Linked DNA regions of Schizosaccharomyces pombe. Changing the gene in region 2 together with the main gene of any one other region gives a genetic interaction. Each region holds a gene or a part of one and is shown on either strand. Other genes may lie near its edges. The genes, in order: ure6, tim18, mug129 and SPOM_SPCC757.11C.

Region 1 (3,709 bases), on a different chromosome or scaffold from region 2:
TTGCTTTATGTTGTTGTTTTATATTCTTTCTTTCTTTTTTCTGCCTTCTTGACAATTAATTGATTTCCGCGGCAAGCTTAGTCAGTCTATAATACGGTGTTGTGCATCAGAGATGTTATGGCATTGCGTCATGATCGACACCCTTCCTAATCCCTTTTTTCTCCGCCTTCGCTTCCCCACACTTGGAGTCACAAGGCTGAGTCGATGCTACCTGAAAAGATGGGGTAATGGCATGACGAAAAAGACTGCAGGAAGAGAGGGGTGGGTGAAAGAAAGGGATTCAAACGAGACATCAATAATGGATGGAAGAAATAAAAACATAAAAGAAAAAAGAAAAAAAAAAGAAAGAAAAAGTTAAAGAAGATGAAAATTTTTGTTTGTTTGTCTCAGAACTAAAGTTTTTTTTGCTCAATTTTCTGTTCAATTTCTTTGATTCGCATTTTGTTTTGTTCCACTTTTTCTTTTTTTTTTGTCTTTGTTCCACCATTGGTTTTCTTTATCCATCTCTGTCCATTGTTGGTAATCTTGCTTTATGATTATAGGAGTCCTTTGTTTTCTCTCTCTCTTTTTTTTTTTATTTCTTTGTATGAATTGCCTTTTTTTTGACTAGCGTTCTTTGTCATACATGTCATCTTGAAATAGATGGTTTTGATTGTTTCTTGTTTTCAATAACTTTTTTTTTTTTTTTTCTGCTCTCTTTCTCTTTTCATTTTTTTTTTGGTCAGCGTGAGATACTGGCTTTCATTGAGCTACAATAAATAGTTTTGACTTTTTATTTCTATTTCTATTTCTTCTTTATTTTCCTGCTGTCTTTCTCTTCTCGCATACACAAAAGAGACTCAAACATACACACACACATACTCGGAGAGTTTCTCTCTCTCTCTCTCTCTTTTTTTTAGAGTTTCCTTTTTGCTCACTTGTTTTTCTTTGATCGTCGTTCTTTACGACATCTTTGTATTATAACGAAAATAACCTTTATTTGGACTTTCTTTTTATTCACTGTGGATGAGCTCACTGTGTTGTTCCATGCACAAATTTGTCACTTTCCATGTGAATTTTTCGTGGGGTTGTTGTAAACATTCATGAATTCCTTCGTTTGCTTTTTTTTTAAACAATTTTTAATTTTTATTTACTGTTTCTAATGCTGACATTTATTTGCCTTTTTTATTTCATTGCAAAACATTATATATGTATTCATAGTAAAAACTGAAGTGAAAGTCTATTACAGTCATTTAAATAGATTAGCTCATCTGTATTAAAATTAATAAAAGCATTGCAATTTATATTATAAAGTATGCTTAAAGCATTGTCTCGTGAGAAAGTCCAGTAGGAATTACTTAATTGAGCAGCGCCTTTTCTACTTTACTTTGTATACTATATGTTATTGTTTTACAGTTATCAAAACTTGCTTTTCCTTTCCTGAAATAACTGAGGTCAGTAAATTTAATGCTTCCAAACATCTTCCTTTGTATCCTCTTTTCAGTACATTCATTTATGAAGAAAGTTGTAATTACTGCAGTAAAAGGTGTTTCCCAAATTACAATTCCCACACTCGTGCTTTATTTTGCTAATTCACTTAGCACTCATACTTAGAAATCGTTATTTTGAAAGTACCATTGTAGAACTTAATAACACCACTATAATGGACTATCTAAACGTTGTGTAATTTTTACATTCGTTCGTCCTATGTTCAGTAAAAAATCTTTGCATCATTGACTTGGAAAATGAAAAGCTCATCCATGCTTCTCTTCCCTTTCTCATAGACTCTTGTTTGCCCTTTCCATTATTTTTAAATGTTTATTTATTAAATAGTGATCACTAGTGAATGTCAATAATAAGGAGTTGCATGATTTTCATCCCTATATTGTTTCCAGTAACGATGGATTGATTGTATACTGCAGGTGCAGGATCTTTGATGATAAGAAGAAACTGGATCTGCATGAGTGCAAAAATTTTTCTCTGCTTAGTCCTTCATTTGACCATACACACGATTCATATTTAATATTTAACCACCTCTTGTCGTTCATTTTGCATTTTCTTTTCTACGATACCTTTTCTCGTATTTTACAAATTATCATCCAAATACCAGGCGGTTAAAAACCGTTTTCTCAACCTTTTGATGCTGTATAGACATACCAAAAAATAGCGTTCCATCATTTTTTATTCTTGTCGCACCGTTTCGTTGAGTTGTAGGCTCGATAATTACTGAGAGAATCGGGTTTAAAAGTTTACTTTCACAACTTCCTAAACTCCTCTTTTCTTCTCTTTTTTTGAATACTAAAAAGCGTTTTATATACTAGATATGCACACACATTTCGCAAAAGTAAACACCCAGGGATAGCTTTTTTTTCTATTCTCCAAAACACTTAGATCCAACCTTACTACTACTGATTATAGTTGGTGGTTTTTTGTTTTCACTTTCTAATTTCATTACAATCATGACTGATTCGCAAACGGAAACACACTTGTCGCTAATTCTTTCAGACACTGCGTTTCCTCTGTCATCTTTTTCTTATTCGTATGGGTTAGAGTCGTATTTGTCTCATCAGCAGGTGAGAGACGTCAATGCATTTTTCAACTTTTTACCATTGTCCCTCAATTCAGTGCTACATACCAATTTGCCAACTGTCAAAGCAGCTTGGGAGTCACCGCAACAATATTCCGAAATCGAAGACTTTTTTGAAAGCACACAGACATGCACAATTGCCCAAAAGGTCTCCACCATGCAGGGTAAATCTTTGTTAAATATTTGGACAAAATCACTCTCCTTTTTCGTTACATCAACCGATGTCTTCAAATACTTGGATGAGTACGAAAGAAGAGTTCGTAGTAAAAAGGCACTCGGTCATTTCCCAGTGGTTTGGGGTGTGGTATGTAGAGCCTTGGGATTATCGTTAGAAAGGACATGTTATCTGTTCTTATTGGGGCATGCAAAATCGATTTGCTCAGCAGCTGTTCGCTTAGATGTTTTGACCTCCTTCCAGTACGTTTCCACTTTGGCTCATCCTCAAACCGAAAGTTTACTTAGAGATTCGTCGCAACTAGCTTTGAACATGCAACTAGAGGACACTGCTCAGTCATGGTATACGCTGGACCTTTGGCAGGGTAGACACAGTTTGTTATATAGTAGAATATTTAATAGTTAACAATCATCAAAACTGGAAAATACGATTGCCATGTAGCGATTTACATCTGAAACCATTTGTAGAGATTGAAAAAATTGCTCTTGGAAGGGTGCTTCGAATACGTTTTCGGAAATTTTAGTAAACGTCGTCAAAATTTTTGCCAAACGAATACCTTCCTGAGGTATGCTAGGTAAATAAGTCAACATGTGTTCATTCAAAGCGATCAGCTCATTCTTCATAACGATCGATGCATCCATTTGGGTTGCAAAATCCTCTAGTTCCAAAACACGATATAGCAAATTTCCTGTAACTATGTACTGTTTCGGGATTTCAGCTAACAGTACCTCTTTGTTTCCGTCGATAGAAAACTGATAGTTGTTTACAAATACTTCGACCACACGAGTCGTCAATGCTTCAATCAATTTGCGGTCCACTATATCCGTCGGCGATACCCTAGTTCGAAGTGTTAGCACTAAAAAATTAAGATGAAAGATAAAACACATATATATTAACGCCAATCGGATTCAAACATTTACCGCCAACGCACTATCAACACATACTCTTCAAAAGTCAAAGTAACAGCT
Region 2 (2,823 bases):
GTAGCATGTAAATGATCAAAGACTACTTCATCGGCCATTTTGTCAACCTCTTCTTGCTCTCTTAAGATGACTTGGCGTTCACGCTCAACCGCCGAGGCAGAAATGCTTGAATTTGTCAGGATATCGGCCAAAACGGCAACTGCATTAGGTACAGCGTTTTTGAACGCATGTGCATAATAAACGGTTTGTTCACGAGAGGTGTATGCGTTCAAATGTGCACCAGTATTTTCAAATTCCAATTCCAATGCTTTTTGGGAGCGATTTTTCGTTCCTTTGAACGCCAAATGTTCCAAAAAGTGAGCAGCGCCATTATTTTTTGCCGTCTCAGCTCTTGAGCCAGCATCAACGCCCACAAGGACGGTCGCTGTTTGGGCATACGGATGATGTTCCGTAGCAACTGTAAGCCCATTTTTTAAAGTAGTGGTTTCTGTTTTTGGTAAAGCAGTAGTCGCAAAACGACGTACTAGCTTTGGCAAATTCTGAAGCCTCAGCATAGTAATATCAATTCAAGCTCCTTTGGTTGGGTGGGATTCTGTGGATGGTAAAGGGTAAGTAGGTAGCAAGAAGGTATTCCGTAGAGGTGTAGCGTAATACGTGTTATCGAGGTCCCAAGTTCGAATTTCGGCAAATGACCAATTGATCCCATTTAATAAAAAAAGAAAACTAGCAATCCTTGAATCCCTTACTAGAATTTCCATGTAGAGAAAAATAAGAAGTTGACCATTCAAACAGAAACTTTCGGATTGCCTAGTCTTTGCCCTGTGCGCAATTTGCTATAAAGGAAGGAAACGAATGACCGTACAATCCAGTTCATGATATAATATATCTCTACTTAACATGGAGAATCTCATTGGTAAAAAACTATGTAGGGGATATATTGTTTCATCGGTATATTGAAAAGAATCTATATGACATTGAATCAGACAGGGTAAGACACTTCATCAGGTTAAGTTCGTATTCATCTACATTAAAAGGTTATTTATACTTAACGAAATTCTCTTTTCCATGATTTCCATTACAATATTTCGGTTAATACATTTTTAAAAAAATAACAGTCCAACTATAGAATTTTGACTAGCACCGAATCAAGCATTGTTATACATCGACTATTGAGTAGCTTGATGGTTTCTTTTTATGAGAATAGTTTTTTATATAAATGATATTAATTTAAATAAAATTTTCATCCTCTTAAAACCGTTTCTCTAACCTTTTTTTAAGCCAATGCAGCACCTTTATATTAGCATAATTGCTACAAGTAAATTTCTATAGCTTTATCTATATTATATTATTAAGTAAAAAGATTTACAGTAGATTATTGTTTTTTCACAATGTAGTGCTTTCCGTAAAATTTTTTTTGAAACTGCAGTAACTTTTGGTACTGTGTAATATTATAATAGATATTCAAACTCACCACAAAACCCATGTAATATTATATGTAGAAGGTAATTCGTTTTCAGCAGTGAATAATATTATTATAAAAAGTAATAACCAGGTTTTGAAACGACCTTAAAGACCGGAGATTCTTCTGAATAAACTTATTAATCTATTATATCTATTTAAATTTCTAGTCTTTACTCTATGTTATACAATTTTTCGTTTATGAGTAGATAGATTTAGGTTCTCATCGCCTATTTCCGGCCACTCCAAGCTCAACACATCGAGCTGTTGAATGGCCAATAATGTGGACACAAGATCCGCCAATACGAACTCACCTACTACCACCACCAGCTTTTCTTGGTTTACAAACAATATGTTACAAACACGTTTAGGACTTGGAGCACTTCGTCAAGGACGTCTTCTTTTTGCAGTTAAATCTTTTAGCACAACCAGTGTTGCGAAAATTTTCCCTCCTCCCCCTCAGACCATTAAGGGAACTGTTAATGATGCTGCTGTTTTCCCTCACCACAGTAAGCTCCACGGAAGCTATCATTGGGACTTTGAAAGAATTATTGCTATTGCCATGGTTCCTCAAGTCATGATCCCTTTGTTCACCGGAACTTCTCATCCCTTAATGGACGCTGCATTGGCTTGCACCTTGATTACGCATGCCCACTTGGGGTTTGAATCTTGTGTGATTGACTACTTCCCTGCAAGAAGATTTAAGAAGTTATCTCCTTTGATGCACTGGATCTTACGTGGATGTACTGTTCTTACACTTATTGGCGTCTATGAGTTCAACACGAATGATATTGGCCTTACGGAGGGTATTAAAAAGCTTTGGAAATCTTAAGCTTCTTTCCATGCAAACCCATATAACCCCACTTATTTTTTCATAATGATTATTCCTTTCCTTTTTCTTTTTTATTCTCCTTAATCCGTCATCTAGTAAGTTTTGGGCTTGAAACTTACCAGTTCAAACCCCAAAACTGCCAATTGATATTCTGCAGTTGATCTTTGCTCTTTTCTTGATTTCTGGCTTGATTGATCCTCTCAATTTATCTGTGTAAATCTGTTTAGCGCTTGCACAGTATGTTTATGTTTACCTTCAACGATAATTTTTCTAGTGGGAGTGGTTAGAAGACTATTCAAGTTTGTGGCAGCTCTTGTTAAGGTCCTTATGTCGACTTGAATTAATAATTCTTCCAAGACAAAATCCATTGAATTATTTTATTGGGTGTCCCATTTATTATTTATCGTTTAGAATGGGTCAACAATTTACCCATGTACGCTTCGTTCCCTTATTCTTTGATAAGGTATTAGAAGACATGCTCTAACGTTTACCGTTTTAATCTCATTTATCGAATGTTGCGTTACAATTTTCGATATTTACATAACGTTCTTAGCCATACTGTTGTATTTTGCTTTACCGAAGTGTCTTTACAC
Region 3 (4,016 bases), on a different chromosome or scaffold from region 2:
AGAAGCTCTTGGCCACTCGCATTGTCAAGCATGCTTTTGAGATCATTGCTCTCTTGACCGACCAAAACCCTCTCCAAGTTTTGGTTGATGCCGTTGCTGCCTGTGGTCCTCGTGAAGACTCCACTCGTATTGGTAGTGCTGGTACTGTTCGTCGTCAAGCCGTTGATGTTTCTCCTCTTCGTCGTGTCAACCAAGCTCTTGCTCTTATCACTATCGGTGCTCGTGAGGCTGCTTTCCGTAACGTCAAGTCCATTTCTGAATGCTTGGCTGAAGAAATCATCAATGCTGCTAAGGGCTCTTCCAACTCTTACGCCATCAAGAAGAAGGATGAGCTTGAGCGTGTTGCCAAGAGTAACCGTTAAAGACTTATTTGTATTAATGGATTTTGTTACTCCCTTGCATTTAATCTTTGTGCTTTAACTTCTCGTAGTAAAAGGCAATGTGTAGTTAGTACATTTTTGCATTTTTATTATGATTGCCACTTATCGTTGTCAATACTAGATCAAAATTGCGGATAAATATAGGTAAAAGTTGTGATACTATACTGATAATGTACATTGATCGATAGGATGAACAAAACGCGTTTACAATGTAAAATATTTTTATTATGTAATTTCACGCAGCTGTAAAAAATGGCTTTTCTGAATTATTAAACCATGTCTAATTGAATAGCATACAATTAAATAGGAGCACTTTTTTGGTGCTTAAAATCATCGATGATGTAAAGATAGTATAAACAAGCAGTAACGAGAGGATGTCTAGTTTGTAGACTCGAAAAAAAAACCACATTGTTTTTTCAAATAGTATTGTCAAAAGATACTTCGTGAAGGAGAAGTACATTAATTTAAAGTGCCAAGATCTTCGTTCAACAGGCAAAGCTTCCCTTCGGTAACTTGATTTTTCATTATTTCTATTGATGTTAAAAAATCAACTTGCTCGTTTAATAAATAAATGTAGTGATTTCTGGGTAAAACGCATGTAATATATATTCTTTGAATCCAACTATTACAATGCTCATCGGGGGATTCTTGTATTAATGCTTTGAACTTCCCTAGTAGAATATCAACATCTGAGCGTGATGATATAGTCGTAATTTCAGAGGCTTTTCGTAATTGAGGATTGGCGACACTGTCAACTGGCTGCTGATTAGGTGAAGGAGAAACCGTAGCAGCTTTTTGAAAATATGTCGAAGTGAATAAAGACCAAGCATAGTGAAAGGACTCCTTATTATTCATTGGTAAAAAATGGAAAGCGGGATGCCCAAGTTTTGATAAAGCTGCCCTTTTTCGAAAAGCTAGTTGAGCCTCCGTACACGTACCATCATCTTCTATATTTGCCATATTGTCACTAAGCCTTTGCCAAAACAGTTCTGATGGATGGGTGTATTTGTACAAGTAAGAACCAATGGTAAATGTCACTATGGTCTGTGCTTCCTCCGTCTTCGACATGGATCGACCATCACCATAGTATACATCATGAAATAAATCATTGTAGGAGTTAATAAAATACGTTAAAGCTTCTCGACGATCTTTTGACATATTCTGTCTAACTGAAAGTTGCTGTACAAACTGTCGCAAAGAATCTATTGTCCACTCTATGCATAAGCTAGATCTTGATTTTTCACTTGCTAGCTCGTTCAATGGTGAAACAACGCTTAAATGCGCATGTCCTACATTAGGAGGTTTCTTCTTATGCTCATCCTTATCTTCTTCGGGGCTCTTGCAGCAAGTTAGGATTCTCCATAGCATCACAAGTTTGATTATTTGGACAGATAAGTTTAAAATTGGAAAACAAAACGACCGCGCGAGATATAAAAAATCAACAATAAAAAAAAGATTAAAAAAATAAAAAACAAAAACAGAACTATCTAATACTCAGAGGTTGCCGTAGTAAGGGTTTTATTGATGATGACAAACGACGGGTTATGTTAGCAAGGTGAGCAGTATTGACAATTAAAATCAATTAATAATTAATAGCTTGCCTAATGAAAAACATTAAAAGAATAAACAGCGGAAAGGAAAGAGATATAATGCGATATTGAAATGATAGACGGTGCATGCAGTCGTAGTAAACTGAGGATGCACTACTGATGAGTCAAGTCAAATGATACTAGTAGTATATATAAACTCATACACACTAAAATACTATAGTAAGTACATTGAGTATGACTACAGAGCATCTATTGAAGCACTAATGATAATACTAGAAACAAATTGTCTGCTCAATTCATTTTGCTTGTATCTTCTTATACTAAAACAAAAACTTTCATATACAAACAAAAAACCATGGGACGTCTCAAGGCGTTGCTCTTGTAAACTCTAAGAATACATTTGACGATCCACTTCATCAAACGTTACAAGATTTACTAAATAAGCAATCCAACTTTTCATATGTTAAACTGCTTAGTGAAGGAAAAATAAACAGCAGAAGCGAAATAAAATCTGAAACATACATTTACACTTATAAAGATAAGTAGAAGGCTATAATATTACGCGTTTGTCCTTTAAAATCATTTTTGCAGGAAATCATCAATGCGTGCATTGGAAACCTGTGAGGTATGCTGCCTTGATGCCTCAAAACTAACGTTAACAATGGTAGGACGATACAAAAAATAAGACCAAAGAATATTTAAATAAGAATTATACTAAATCGAACTGCAATAAAATAAAAGCCCGCTCCCAACCGTATCCGTCCATCCTTGAATTTTTTAACCAACTTGCGAAAGACAAAAGAAATAATTTTCTCAAAAAAATAGTACTTTTTTAATCCTCTATTATCCAGAACCTTTGTATTAACGTTTTAGTTTTTTGTCAGGGTTTGCCTCTTTTGATGAATTTACTCTTTAAGGCAACAAAGCTTAGAAACCAGCACGAGGAGATGCCTTGTGTTTCTTCTTTTGAACCTTGCTTTTTCCTGATCCCTTTTGAGAATCCTTTTCATTCTCGACAGGACGCTTATTTTGTCGTTTTTGATTCAAGTCACCGGCTTTCCTCTTCTCACGCAAATCCTGAATCTTTGATGCTAGTTTACCTCTGATCTGTGACATGCTTTCAGCATGACGATCTGAAACATCTGTATCATCACTCATAGTCGAAGACTGTTCCCACTTTGAAGATTTTTGACTATCATCGTCCGCATCGTTAACAAGACCATCCAAGCTAAATTTCATTTTTCGGCGTTCTTTCTTCTCCTCTAGCGTAGATTTTTTCTGTTTCCATTGATTCTAAATTGAACAGTTAAACATAATTATTCCAAATATCTCACATACCGCTGTATGCTCGCGATAGTAGAGCTTTGCAGGGATATAACTTAAAAGCTCTTCGAACCCGTCATTCCAAGCATTAATCCTTTCCTAATATACTCAATTAATATATAATACTTAATGTCTATGTCTTACTTCGACTTCTGTCATCTTTTTAAGGGTTTTAGAGATTTTGACAGGAGAACACCTAGTTGGTTGAAAGCGAATACACATCTTGAAAAGAACCATAACATAACTTCAATCGACAACGTTTATAAAACATGGTAAATGCACAACAACTTGAGCTTTTGATACAAAATACATTAGAACCTACCCACATTGTACGTTGAGCAAAATTTTTATTTTTATTTTTTGGTTTCACATTACTTTAAGCAAACCATTTTACTGATACTTATATAGGAGATCCAAGATATGTCTGGAGGATGTGGCCAGAACTTCGAAGTAATCATTGTTTCCCCTCTGTTTGAAGGGAAAAGCACGCTAGCTCGTCACCGTCTTGTGAATCACAAACTTCAAGAGGTGATCAAGGATATCCATGCCTTTACTCAGGTTCGTACTCTAAGTTTCAGGCATATAAGATAGAAAAAAGAAGAAGGAATCTGAAAAAAAAAAATGCTTTCAACTATTCTTAATCAGTTACTAACTTTAAATGCAGAAATGTTATAGTCCGGCACAATGGGAAGCTCTTCAAGCAAAATAATACCACATATTCTAATGCTTTCTCTTTTACTTCCTTTCTATTTTCGTGACAGCT
Region 4 (4,606 bases), on a different chromosome or scaffold from region 2:
AACAAACAAAAAAAACAAAAAACAAAAGAAGGCAACAAGGAAAGGCTCGTGTCGAAGAGGAAAATATGGGAAACAAAATCAAACGCCGGGCGATATATTCTCGGTTTGGCAAGTGGGAATGTAAATGCAAAAAAAAAAACGATTAAAAAAAGAAAAGGAAAAGTTAATCAATATGGTATGCGATGAGGAAATTATTTGACAAGTTGATTGAGCACACTCATACAAAACCAAAAAATGGGGAAACCAAGAAAAATAGAAATGAAATGCAAAATCAAAAAGACCAAAAATTTGGCACGCAAAAGAAACCAAAAAAACGAAACAAAAAAGATAGAAAAAGAAAAGTTATGAAGAACGGGTATCAAACCCTTTAGATATAGCCTACTAAAGGGAGGATATTAGAAAAATATGCAAAATGTTAGATGTGTAGAGGTTCAGTAGTGTAGCGAGGATCTTTTATTTATATGACTGCGAGCACGAATGTAAACAAATATCGCCATGGCAGCTAGGTAACAACCACGAGGCCGATCGCTGCTTCGGCGGATTTAGGCTGACGTAAGATGAGACTGTTTGTTACCGATAGCCCTTTTTCCAGATGCGCTCGCATTGGTTCTCAAGTGGGGCTTTGAATAAGCCACGTTTGGCGGCTGTAAATACACATAAAAAGGTGTAAGAACAAGCGTTAAACTTGTTTACCGATTATTAATAATAGGTCGATAAACAAAGATTTTAACTTTAGGAACGAGGACATGGGAAAGGGAAGAAGAGATGAGGAAACATTGCGATGTTCAGGAAAGGAAGATGAGGTCACTAGTAAATAAACAATAGAACAAGAATAATAAATAAATAAATATATGATTACAAAGTAATCACAAGCGCGGACTTGGTGAGTACAAAGCAAATTGTCATTCTATTCTATTTTGGCCTATAAATTCAAAAAAACAATATCTAGGTAGGATGTTTGAGCGTCGTATGAAACATTGCTGCAAAAACTTGATATGCTGAATAACGATATTTATGAGGCGCACAGACGATCCTCTTTCATAGCCACCTACGTGTGCAAGAGAAAAGGTTGTGGGCAGTGTGCACTAGGCGAAATATGCAAAACTTGGATTTTCATCATACATAGTACAATGTAAGAGAGATTGTAAAGCATGTTTGAGAACTCATTATGCCAAAAAACTAGTGTAACCAAGTATTGATTAGAAGGAACTGAGCAGGATGTTTAAGTTAAAAGAATCATAGTATTTGTAGGGGCTGGTGTACTGCAAGGAACCAATCTGCTATCTCACATAGCTTGTCTTTCAACATCGCCATTGTCAAGTTTCCTTCTTCATCCGTTGAATAACGCTTTATGCCCTATTCTCATTAAACGATTTACGATACATTTTTTCCATGCATACACTGGTTATCATAGACAGACGGATAGTAGCCAAAATGATCGACCCGAACAGTCATGAGTCTTTCCGTCCCGAACAGTCTGTAAATCTTCAAGTACTGAAGCGCATCCATATCTTGAGCAAACGCTTACTGCCAACGGACAAATAGACAGGTGATCTTGCCGGCTGGCCCTGAAAAAAAGCATAAAATATTCGACCGCTCAAATGGGCTTATCTGCCAAACACACTTTGCAAGACATTTCTATTCGATACTTATCATCATATCCTATCATAATTCTATTCTCCTTCTACCATCATGTCTACCGGTTTCTACGTTTGCATTTATCTTTGCGTTTTTGTACTTGCCATAACTGAATTGTACTATTTGCTCTCGCTGATTATTTCCTATTTATACAAGTAATTAATAATTTAAAAAAGAACAAATAAATAAACTGCCCACACCAGGAATCGAACCTGGGTCGCATCGGCCACAACGATGAGTCTTAACCACTGGACCATGTGAGCTAGTACAGTAGCCGTACAACTAATGACTGATATATGGTAAAATACTCCGCACTACGGAAAGCTTAATTAGGGAAGCACCGTGGATATCCTATTTTGGGAATTCTTATCCATTCTATACGATGATGAAAATTATCGGATATCATCAACTTAAAAAAATTGATCTCATATAAAATAAACGAGTCATGCTATTCTATTGAAATTCCACTTTCTTCCTTTACTCACACCAAAATATTTGAAAACAACAAAGAATTTCTCTTTGTTTTCTCGTTCCTTCTATACCTTATTCCACAGGCCAGTTTTCGTAGTAGAGCAGGTTTTTGAATGGATCCATTGAGTCTATATTATGGAGCAACAAAGTAATTTAGAAAAAGACCTCTCGGTCTCATCCTTTCTTGATGAAAAGGAAAAGTCGGGATACAAGCAATCTGTAAGATTAGTTTCCAATGACCCTTCTGCCTCACCGGCTGCTACGCATAAACCACCGTTCATCAGTGCGGCTTTGATGCTGTTAAATAACACAATTCTTTGCATTTCATTCACCATTGTCGTTCCTACGTCCGAGAGATTTGTCCAACATCTGGGGGGAGGAAATGGTTTGTCCGGTGTAATTATCGGATTGCCCACAATCACTGCCCTTGTGTTGCTGTATCCCATGTTGAGATTCTCGACTCCGAAAGCTGCCAAGGGATATACGATTTATAGAAGACCATATACAATGTCGTGTATAAGCTGCATTATTGGTCATATCATGTATGCACTCGCAGATAAAGCCAAAAGTGTGGCCTTGATTCTTGTGAGTCGTATTTTTACGGGTGTTGCGTGTACCATGTTTTTATACCACAAGCGCTATTTCACAGATAAAGCCTTGATCAGCATCAAATATAGAACGTCGATGGGTGTGGTCAACTCAGTCATGGCAACGCTTGGTTTGACAGCTGGTCCATTCATCGGAGGATTAATGGCCAAGTCTTCAATGAAGTCTCAAAGCGATATCTGGAATGAATATACTTCGGGTAACTGGCTAATGGCTTTCATTTGGGTAGGCTTGTTTTTGTTTGGCTTTGCTTGTTTCCGGGAGGTTTTGAGCCCGCAAACGGACGTAAAGGAAGAAGTAGTCGAAGAGAAGCATGTCATTAATGATGTCAAACAGGATACCAATTCAAAACTAGGATTTGTGGGGTGTCTTGTTATTTTCGTTGTCGCTTTCTCTGGCTTCTCTGCTTACTTTCTATTAAATGCATACCAAGCATCTGTTCCAATTTACACTTCTATGCTTTATAATTATTCATCCTTCCAAGCAGGTAACTTCCTTTCTTTGGCTGGAATTATCAACGTACCCTTGCTTTTAATATTTTCCTATTTGACGCGTTACTTGACTGACAGAGATATCATATTGTTGGGTTGTTGTTTAAACATCGTATGCATGGTTATTCATATAACTATTCACTATACAGGCAAGGAATTCGTACAACCTTACTTTATTATTTACACCCTTGTTTTTTTTGGATCTTCTATTGCTAATTCCCCTTCGGTCTCTTTATTGACAAAGGTTTTACATCCTAAGTACCACCTGATAGGTAACGTCGCTGTGCAAATATCAATTTCCTTATCCGACACAGTTGGTGCTATCTTTGGCGGTGCATTTCGCTCGTTCTCACCTGTTGTTTTTTTTGCGGTATGCTTAATATTAAACGTTATGTCTGTGCTTGCACTATTGATTATATGGAAGAAACTTAAGGTCAAGTTGCGCCTTGCATAATTCACTGGTAACTCAATGGTTAGGTTGCTCTCTATTTTTTTTTTTTTTTTTAATTTTTTTACAAGGGGGGGTTGATTTGTTGTTTATTTATAAATTTGTAAGTTGTGTTCCTTACAAATAAATCTAATACCAAATGGCTAATTAAATTGAAATAATGTTGCTAAATCTTTAATTATAATGAAATTAATTGATGAAATATACGTTAAAAGCCAAATGAGTTCGAATTTTTTATCTTAAATACTTTTTATTTTTTATCTATAGTGTGCCCATAGGTGCCTGCCCTTCAATTAACACATAGAGAGGTATGCCATTATGATCAATTAGACAAACAACCTATAAAAATCATCTACAGGAAAACATCAAAGGTACTTTCGTTAATAAAACATCTAAAAATTAAGAATATAATTATTGGTTCTTTTTTTCCTTCAAAGATGGAATGGCTCCCAGTTCTATAGCTAGCTGCTCATTTGACTGTAGAACAGGGTCATTTGTTGTCCATGTATATATTATTTGTCGAGTATGATTCTTTGAAGTTCGTACGGGTTGTGCAGATAGATAGCGGACATAAAGAAACGTATCTGCTACTAGAACCAAGATTGCTGAAAACGCACATAGCGCAATTTTCTAAATAATATTAAGTCAATACAAAGGTCTCCCAGGAACAAAACGAAAGTTTTTAATTCATACCTTTTCAATAGATAAAGATGAAGTGCAGTACCAAACAGCGGTCACCGTTCCTACTACTGTGAAGAGTATATTGATTATAGCGCTGATTTGGTTTTTCATTAGTCGTAACTCTGATTTTTTTTCTCTCTCAGGGTCCATGGATACGCCTGCCATTGATGGAAGCAGAGGAATACCATCATATAGCTCTTTCTCCTTTAAGATAGAAGTAGTTGTATTGTCTTGAGTATGGCTGTTTTCATCAATTTCGCCCAAGAAGACA

Evidence for each region.
Region 1: mutations in tim18 (region 2) and ure6 together harm fitness less than expected from each alone (positive genetic interaction), as found in Schizosaccharomyces pombe (one large-scale study listed by BioGRID).
Region 3: mutations in tim18 (region 2) and mug129 together harm fitness less than expected from each alone (positive genetic interaction), as found in Schizosaccharomyces pombe (one large-scale study listed by BioGRID).
Region 4: mutations in tim18 (region 2) and SPOM_SPCC757.11C together harm fitness more than expected from each alone (negative genetic interaction), as found in Schizosaccharomyces pombe (one large-scale study listed by BioGRID).

Annotation. Positions count from the first base shown.
Region 1 is NC_003424.3:5,120,310-5,124,018, reverse strand, and holds ure6 (urease accessory protein ure6), read left to right. Parts: upstream 1-1,920; 5' UTR 1,921-2,438; coding exon 2,439-3,146; downstream 3,147-3,709. Other genes in the region: pex3 (peroxin-3 peroxisome import protein), read right to left, coding at 3,143-3,578, 3,686-3,709.
Region 2 is NC_003423.3:2,034,350-2,037,172, forward strand, and holds tim18 (TIM22 inner membrane protein import complex and succinate dehydrogenase (SDH) anchor subunit Tim18), read left to right. Parts: upstream 1-1,710; 5' UTR 1,711-1,750; coding exon 1,751-2,230; downstream 2,231-2,823. Other genes in the region: MPP complex beta subunit Qcr1, read right to left, coding at 1-494; SPOM_SPBC29A3.21 (uncharacterized protein), read left to right, coding at 2,743-2,823. UniProt on the Schizosaccharomyces pombe protein: Membrane-anchoring subunit of succinate dehydrogenase (SDH) that is involved in complex II of the mitochondrial electron transport chain and is responsible for transferring electrons from succinate to ubiquinone (coenzyme Q).
Region 3 is NC_003424.3:3,655,610-3,659,625, forward strand, and holds mug129 (protein mug129), read right to left. Parts: upstream 2,067-4,016; 5' UTR 1,749-2,066; coding exon 840-1,748; 3' UTR 588-839; downstream 1-587. Other genes in the region: rps5 (40S ribosomal protein uS7), read left to right, coding at 1-362; rrp14 (ribosome biogenesis protein Rrp14-N), read right to left, coding at 2,858-3,223, 3,269-3,352, 3,398-3,412; iron-sensor Fra2, read left to right, coding at 3,523-3,582, 3,662-3,811, 3,918-3,962. UniProt on the Schizosaccharomyces pombe protein: Has a role in meiosis.
Region 4 is NC_003421.2:68,695-73,300, reverse strand, and holds SPOM_SPCC757.11C (transporter), read left to right. Parts: upstream 1-2,032; 5' UTR 2,033-2,244; coding exon 2,245-3,660; 3' UTR 3,661-4,065; downstream 4,066-4,606. Other genes in the region: vph2 (V-ATPase assembly protein), read right to left, coding at 4,066-4,284, 4,348-4,606.